2 linked regions of the Lonchura striata genome follow. The protein of the gene in region 1 interacts with the protein of each later gene in a biochemical or structural test. Links are inferred from orthologs where the notes say so. Each region holds a gene or a part of one and is shown in the gene's direction. Other genes may lie near its edges. The genes, in order: BCL10 and CARD11.

Region 1 (3,911 bases):
CGAGCAGCAGTCGGGGCTGCTGGCGAGGGGGCCTGAGAGAGCTTTCGCTGGCCGAGGTGACCTTCACGGCTGGCTGGCAACCTCTGGGGATTGGCCCCGATTTTAACACCCAGCTCTGCAGAAATCAGCCCCGGCATCAGGTGCCTAGTCCTTTATTTTTCAACTGTTCTGGGCAGGTTCTTCGTGTTTATTTTAAAGCTGGGACTGCTAGCACTGCAAAATAGATATAGTTACAATTAATATTTCAAGTACTATAAGTGCATTAACAAAGCATGTCAGTCAAAGACTTTGCAAAACTGTAAAACTACCACAGAACTGGCAGGTTGTCCTTACTGACAGCAAACCGCAGCGTTGATCGCTTCTACTTCTGTTCATGTTTATCTGCTGAATGGAAAATTTTAGGAGTGAATAACTAGCCCGAGTTCACCCGTGTCAGCGGCGAGAACACCGACTGCTGCCGTTCCAGCGCTGCCGTTCCTGCGGAGCGGCGCCGTGTCCCGGCGGGGCAGCGGCTCCCTCTGCTGCTGCCTTGGAGCACGACCCGGTGCAGCGGAGCGGCTTCTGAACACCGCCAGTCCCCGAAACCTGCGGGCAACCGGCCCCGCCCGGTACGGCCCGGTGCCGCCAGCCGCCGGCACGACGAGCCGGCACCCGCACGAGCCGCGGGCCCCGACACCTCTCCGCACGCTCAAGACCCTTTAGCGGAGGGGTCGTCACATGTCCCGAGGAGCCCGAGCCGGAGCCGGCGGCGCGGCACTCCCGCACCGGGGCACCGAGCCCGGCCCGCGCGGCCGCAGGACCGGGAGCCGCCCGCGGGCGGAGCGCCGATCCTCAGCACCCATTGGCGGGCGGCCGGGGGCGGAGCGCCGATCCTCAGCGCCCATTGGCGGGGGGCCGGGGGCGGAGCGCCGATCCTCAGCGCCCATTGGCGGGCGGCCGGGGGCGGAGCGCCGATCCTCAGCGCCCATTGGCGGGGGGTCGGGGGCGGAGCGCCGCTCCTCAGCGCCCATTGGTGGGCGGGCCGGGGGCGGAGCGTAGCGCAGACCCTGAGCTCCCATTGGGGCGGGGCCGCGCTGGGGCGTGGCCGCGGTTTGTCCCGCCTGGGGGCGGGGCGACGCGCCGAGGCTGAGCTGCCATTGGCGGAGGCGGGCGGGGGCGGAGGCGCCGCCCCGCGCGGGTTTCCCCAGCGGCGCCGCCGAGGGTTCCGCCATGGAGGGCCCGGGGTCGTGGGCGAGCTCGGGGGGCGCGGGGCGGCCGCTGACGGAGGACGAGATGGCGGAGGTGAAGAAGGATGTAAGTGGCGGGCGAGCCGGGGGCTCGGTGCCCAGGCCGGGCGCGGAGCGGCGAGTGGGGCCCGTGCGCGGGCGGGGGAGCGGAAGCGCCGTGGGAGCGGGCGGGGGGCCGGGCCGGGCCGGGGCCGGGCCGGGGAGTGTCGGGCGCGGCTCGGCCCGCCTGGGCCCCCTCGCGAGCGCGGGCCCGGGGCCGCCCCGTCCCCGCCGGGCCCCGGGCCGCCCGCCCTGCGCGGGCCCGGCTCCGGGGCTCGGCTGCGGCGGTCGCCGCGCCGCTGCCTGCGGGACCCGAAGCTCGGCTGGGAGTGTGACTGCTGCTCCTGCGGCCAGGGAAGTGAATTCTTAGAAAGCGGGGATGTCTTCGTTAAGTATCCTTAGATATTTTTTATTTTTATTGAGGCTTATTGTTCTATATTTTCCTGGGTTTTCCCCAGTACTTATTCACTGTTGTTTGGAATCTGAGGGAAGACTTCATCCTGATCCATTCTGGAATAATTTATCTCAACGTGAGACTGGGAAGCAATGCATTAACAACTTCAACAAGTGATTGCTTAATTTAAAAATAAAAAAATTAAAAGTAAAAAAATTTACTTTTTAATAAAAAGTAAAATAACAGTTTATCACTTATTTATTGCCTATCCATGGTTCTGTTTGTAATTTATAGTGTCTTATGTTTGATTCATTGGGGTTTTCTTACGTTCTCTTAAAGTACAGTAAAGACTCCTTGCAGCTTGTTTTTTTCTAGCTTTATGCTTAAGTGATTTCTTTTTAAATGCTTTGTCATAGTTTTGTGAGACATGTTTTTCAAGCTAATACTCGTTTCCACAGGCTGATACTGCAATAGTTGGCATTGGGTAGTTACACCAAAAAAGGATAAGAACTACTTGAGTCAGACACTGTAGGTATAACATGACAAGTATGTTTGTCTGGGTCAGTGACTGAACCCGCAGCTGCATCTCACAGAAGTGCATGATTGTCACTTCAGCCCTTGATCTTACAGGTATAGTACTTGGAGGAGAAAGGATGGAAACCTTAGGTAGAAAGAAATAACCTTCTTTTTATCATCAAAATGCAGTCCCACAAATCTGACTTTAGAGCTTCTGCAGTCAGATTTTAAATGTTGTGGCTTCACAACTGACTCGGCTCTCTCAGGGCTGTTCAGGAGACTTTGATGGGATCTCTGCAGGCCAGGGTGCTGTGTTAGCAGAGTCACTGTCTATGACAGGGGACCTCAGGAAACTAAAACTAGCAAGGACATCTTGATCTGGGCAAGCTGGTCTTGAGGAAGAGTTATAACGTTTGGAGTCTTGCAGTTAAGAGCTGAGAAGGATGAGGGTGAGAATCACTCATACAATGGAGTAGGGTTGCAAAAGACTAAAAGCAGCCACTAATGTTGAGAGTACGTACATTTATGGATGAAAGTGCATTTATCTTGGATGTCAGTAATTTGTTGAACTTGTCAATAGTGTAAATAAATAGGATTATTTACAAACCTTTTGAACTGGGAGCATATTCATGCTGTTGCTTTGAGACTGCTTTTGCTCAATGTACAGAAAACGTCAACAACTGCAGTATTTTGGAGTTGTGCCTCAAGGATAACACATGTGGCAATCAGATGACCAGTGAAAATGGGTGTATTTGTAGACAAAGTGAGTAGGTGCTGTTTGGTATAATTCCATTTTTACTTGATTGTTTTGAAACGTGCTAACCTCAGACCTTATGTAATCACATTTTTTATAAGCAGTCACCATATTTTGTAACAAGCATTGGAACTCCTGAGTTCAGTCAAAGAGTTAATGAAAGTGATAATTAGGTAACAGTTTTTTTAAAAAATTTTTTTACACTGAGAAAAGTCTCAACTAAGTAACACAGCAGCAGCTTTAAAAATTCTTTTGCTAACCTGTATCAAAATCATATAGGTTCCAACTACAGGGTTCTAAGTAATTAGAAATGTTGGCTAATACTAGTTTGTTTTGTTTTTCAGGCTTTAGAAAGGATGCGTCCTTACCTGTGTGATAAAATCATAGCTGAGAGACACTTTGATTACCTGCGTTCTAAGAAAATACTCACTAGGGAGGACACAGAAGAAATTTCTGCTCGATCTTCCAGTAGGAAAAAAACTGGGAAGTTGCTGGACTACTTAGCAGAAAATCCAAAGGGACTGGATACTTTGATTGAATCTATCAGACGAGAAAGAACACAAAACTTCCTGTTAGAAAAGATAACTGATGTAGTGTTGAAAGTCAAAAACGAAAAGCTTGAAGCTATTAAAGGTAACAACTTTTTAATAATGTTGTGTAAGACATAGGTTTTATTTTGAGGGTCTGCAAAATTAAAATCCAAAACAAAAGTCTTCCTCTGGTATTTGGAACAACATGTTTGGAAATATCTCCAGTTTGCATTTGAGATCCTAGTGTGTGTATCCTGGTTTTACCTTTTTACTATCTGAACACATCCACCATAAATAATAAGTAGCAAAAAAACCCCTATTGTGTTATTATGATGGATAAAGCTGTCTTCGTATTTCAGTTTTGCTTTTCAAAAATGGGTGGTTATCTTCCATCTTTCATTTCTCTTCAAGGTATTTGCTGCAGTGGCAGGATGCTCTGGTTTAGTTAAACT
Region 2 (3,911 bases), on another chromosome or scaffold:
ACCTGTGCACATGTGCCCAGTGTAAAGGTAAAACCTCGGCTGTGAGCAGTAGAGCTGTACCTGTGCCTTGTACAAGAACCAGCACACCACGCAAGGGGTTCAGGCTCAGGATCCCTCAGCAGGGTGGCAGAGCACTGCAAGATGTTTCTAGAAGTGATGGTGACTGCTCTGGTGGGTTTGGCTGCAGGGAGGCTTCTGGTTGCAGCAAGAGCTAAATGTCCTCTGTGAGACCCACCAGGGGCTGGGTTTGCATGTTGGCCTTAAGGCTGGAATCCAGCATTGAAGCAATACAAGCTACTGCAGCTTCTCTGTGTCGGCAAAGACTGCCTTTGGAAAACACGTTATTCAAAACATCCTTCAACTGTAAAATAATTTGATGCATAAAGCAAACCTTGTTGACTACCTTTTTAGCAAAATAAGCTATTAATAATCTAGATGCCTTAATGAAAAACCTTTGATACCTTGGGAAAACCCAGAGCTCCTTCTGCCTGGAACTGTTGTTCTTGAAACTCTGTTTTCTTCAGTTCCTTCATTCTTTTTTCTCTCCCACCTGCTTTCTACCAGCAAGTGCCCTGAGACACCAGGGCTGCTGCTCTGTGCTGGGAAAGGCACAGCACCAGCCAGGCTGGCATTAAGCACATCCCCTTGAGCCTGAGGAAATCATGCCCTGGAAGTGTGTGGAGCTGAAGTGAGGCAGTGGAGACAGGCTGCTTCTTGTGCCCGAGCCGGGCATTTGTGCTGCCACCTCTGCCCACTGCTCTTCCTGGGAAAGGGGCAGCAGTGCCTCCTGATTTGCTTGCCTGCTGCCACAGGGCTCTGCTGTCACCTGCCTGCAGAGTCATTTGCAAACAGGCCCTATTGCTGGGGAGCAGAAATGTGTTTTTTTCAACCTGCAGCAGATTTATAGTCTGGTTTCCTGTCAGATCTTTGCATTTTCCTTCTCTGCCCCTCCCAGCCTCTGACACACTTTTTCTTACTTTCTGTGTGGCTCTTTGCTCATTCTGACACCAGTGCCCCCAGCCTCCTTCATTCCTGATTCTCCCGAGACTTTTGTACTTTGGGGGCCAGGGAGTGTTTTGCTTCTTGTGTTTCCTTAACTTTTCAACAGCTGCAGAGCACGAATAACCTTTCCAGGACTCCTGGAGAGACACAGACTGTTGCATGGAGGCGACGTAGAGAGTGCAGCCTGCAGCAGCTGCAGCCCCACAGCCGGTCACTCATGGGCACCCAAGGTAAGGAGAGCAGCTGGCAGAGCAGCTCCCCTCCCTGCTGCCTACACAGCTCTGATCACTGAAAGTTCCACTTTCACCTTTTTCGTGTTGATATTCAAAAGGTTCTTTGAAAATGGTTCCATTTGTGCTTCCCTTGCCATCATCAGGTCTGATATTCAGCGTGTGTCGATCTTTGGAGCCCAGGCTTGAGGGAGGCAAAGAGGCTGTAGCTGGAGGTGCAAATGTGCACTGGGAAACTGAGTTGATATGGAGGTCTGGAGAGGGGAGATGAAGGACTGATCATCAGTGCTGGTCTCCAGGGTATTTCTGGTTCTACCCATAGTGTGTTGAACTCTAGCCCTTTCTTTAAATCTCTTCACTGAGATTTATGCTTTCTGCTAACAAGTAAAATCTTTATTATTTGGTTTTCTTCCTCTTTTTATTTGTTCTTCTCACTTCCCTTTTTCTTTTCTCAACCCTTTCTATTTCTTATCTTTTTCACCATCTTTTTATGCCTTTTTATGCCTTTTTATGCCATCAAGAGTATTTTCTGTGTGACAAATTATTTCCCTTTTTCATTCCTTTCCTTTCCCTCTGCCTTCTTTCATGTCTGTGCATCCTCCCTCAAGTTCTTAATCTCTCCCTCCCCTCTGTCAGTTCCTTCTTGTTCTTGTGTTCCCCTTTCCCGTTGTTCCTCCAGCTTCACACATGCACTCCTACTTCCTGCTCCATCCCCTCTCTCCTGTGTTTGCTGCACTGGAAAGAGCCTTTCGTGAGAGCTCTTGCCTCTCCACTGGCCTGTCCTTGCACACATGTGTCTCTTAGTCCTGTCATTCCCTTCCATGGAAGTGTTCAGGATTTGCATATTTACAGTTTTGGGGATGCATCCCAAAATAGGAGACTTTTACCCTTGCATAGCTTCCTTCCAATGCTCAGACTCATATTTAGTCATTCACAGCAAATAACCACTGTCATCCTGTCTCTCTGTTTCTGTCTTACAAACAGCATTTTCTAGCACCTGTAACCCCTTTGTCTTCCTCTCCACTCTCAAATAGAGCCTGCCCTGACTTTGTGTATTCTATCCCTTCTCTTTTTGCCATCCCACTCCTTCCTACCTTCTTACCACAACTCTTCACCAGGTTTCTCTATCTGTTTTTATCTTTATATTGCATTCAAACTAGGAGGAAATGCTGAAGCTGCTGGGCTTGCACTGCTGCCTTAGGATCCCTCTGCCAGCCTGCAGGGGAACCAGAGGAAGTATTGCAGTCTCTCAGCTCCTCTTTCCTCTGCAGAATAACCAACCTGAGCAGAGAAAGAGCTTAGTGACTGAACTGAAGGTAGATGAAAAAATGGGAAAGTACATTGCAAAATGCCTTTTGAAAACTGTAAAAAATAGTTCTAGTTGTTAGTTAATCTTTTTACTAAACTGAATAAACTTCGGCAATTCCTGCCCCACAGCAGAATTTCTTATCTGACACTGGCATAGTTTTTGTCCTTTTGATTCCTATGGGATTCCAAGTCCCAAAGGTAGACGTTCTCATCTCCGATGCTGTAGTGGCAGTTACTTTGCTCCTAGGATCTGGAAACAGCTCATGTCTTTTATACCAGACATACTGGTGAGTCACCAAGATCAGACATGGCTAAAAACTGCATCCAAGGACAATATCTGGTGTTATTCCTTGCTTAAATTTGTATGCTTTGAATCAAATATGACAAATAAGTGTACTTCTTTGATGAAGCTTTTTAGCCTCACCTTCTTGAGCAGGACTATTGAGACTGAAGATTTATTCCTAAGGATGTTCTCGTGTGGTCTTTTGGGAACTGAATAAGTTTCACTTATTAAACTCAGCTGAATTAATAAGAGAATTATTATGTGGGAGAATTCTCTTAGCAATCTGTCTGGCTCTCTCAAATTGTCCATCTCCTTATGAGTGAAAGGAGCTTAAATTTTTATGTTTGCAATTATAAAATATCCTTTCTGATTCAGAGTTAGAAAACTGTGGCCTTTGAGCTGTGAGAATTCTTTCTGAATACAGAAAGAGGTACATTAAAATATCTTTGCCTTTTGGATCTTGCAAAAAGTCCACAAGCCTAGAACAATAAAATACGAGATGCTAATTTTATACATTCAGGTCTAAAATGACTCTTTCTTATTCTGTTGCAACTCATCTTGTGATGGGAACAGCATTTGTATTCCTTTGAGTCATTTGAAAAAGCTTTAGGATGTTGTGCCTTATTTCATCAGTACTTTCTGCCCCTATTACTGGTTCTTTTTGTAAAGGCTCCCATAAATAAATGGGCTGGGACAATGTCTCTTCTCTCTCACCCCCTCCTTTTTCTTTTTGCATCACATTGTTTCCCTGTGTTGAGCTAAAATGGACAATGTCAAAGGTGTGTTGTGATTTTTGCAAGGGGACCTGGAGACAGAAATTGTATTTTTGTGTGTGTCTGTGTCCAGTTTCTTCAATAATGTGTCTGGCAGAGGAGGAATTTCAGCAGGAAAGAGCCTGGAAACTTTCTATCCTCAGTAAATTTCTGTATCAAGAGAGCCAACCCCAGAACAGAAATTCAGAATCACGTTTTACTCCCTGTTCTTATGCAAATAGTTACTTCCAATTAGATTTAACTCTTAATTAAGAGTTCAATAAACTTTAATGATGAACTTTCTTAATACACTTTCAGCGTGGGAGAAGGAAGAGC

What was found.
Region 2: the proteins of BCL10 (region 1) and CARD11 form a complex in vitro, tested with the Homo sapiens proteins (2 studies listed by BioGRID, with this or other methods). The link is inferred for Lonchura striata from reciprocal best matches to the Homo sapiens genes BCL10 and CARD11.

What each region holds. Positions count from the first base shown.
Region 1 is NC_134611.1:18,376,854-18,380,764, reverse strand, and holds the start of BCL10 (B-cell lymphoma/leukemia 10), read left to right. Parts: upstream 1-1,158; 5' UTR 1,159-1,209; coding exon 1,210-1,293; intron 1,294-3,273; coding exon 3,274-3,562; intron 3,563-3,911. UniProt on the Homo sapiens protein: Plays a key role in both adaptive and innate immune signaling by bridging CARD domain-containing proteins to immune activation.
Region 2 is NC_134618.1:13,867,944-13,871,854, reverse strand, and holds the start of CARD11 (caspase recruitment domain-containing protein 11), read left to right. Parts: upstream 1-1,112; 5' UTR 1,113-1,219; coding exon 1,220-1,232; intron 1,233-3,911. UniProt on the Homo sapiens protein: Adapter protein that plays a key role in adaptive immune response by transducing the activation of NF-kappa-B downstream of T-cell receptor (TCR) and B-cell receptor (BCR) engagement.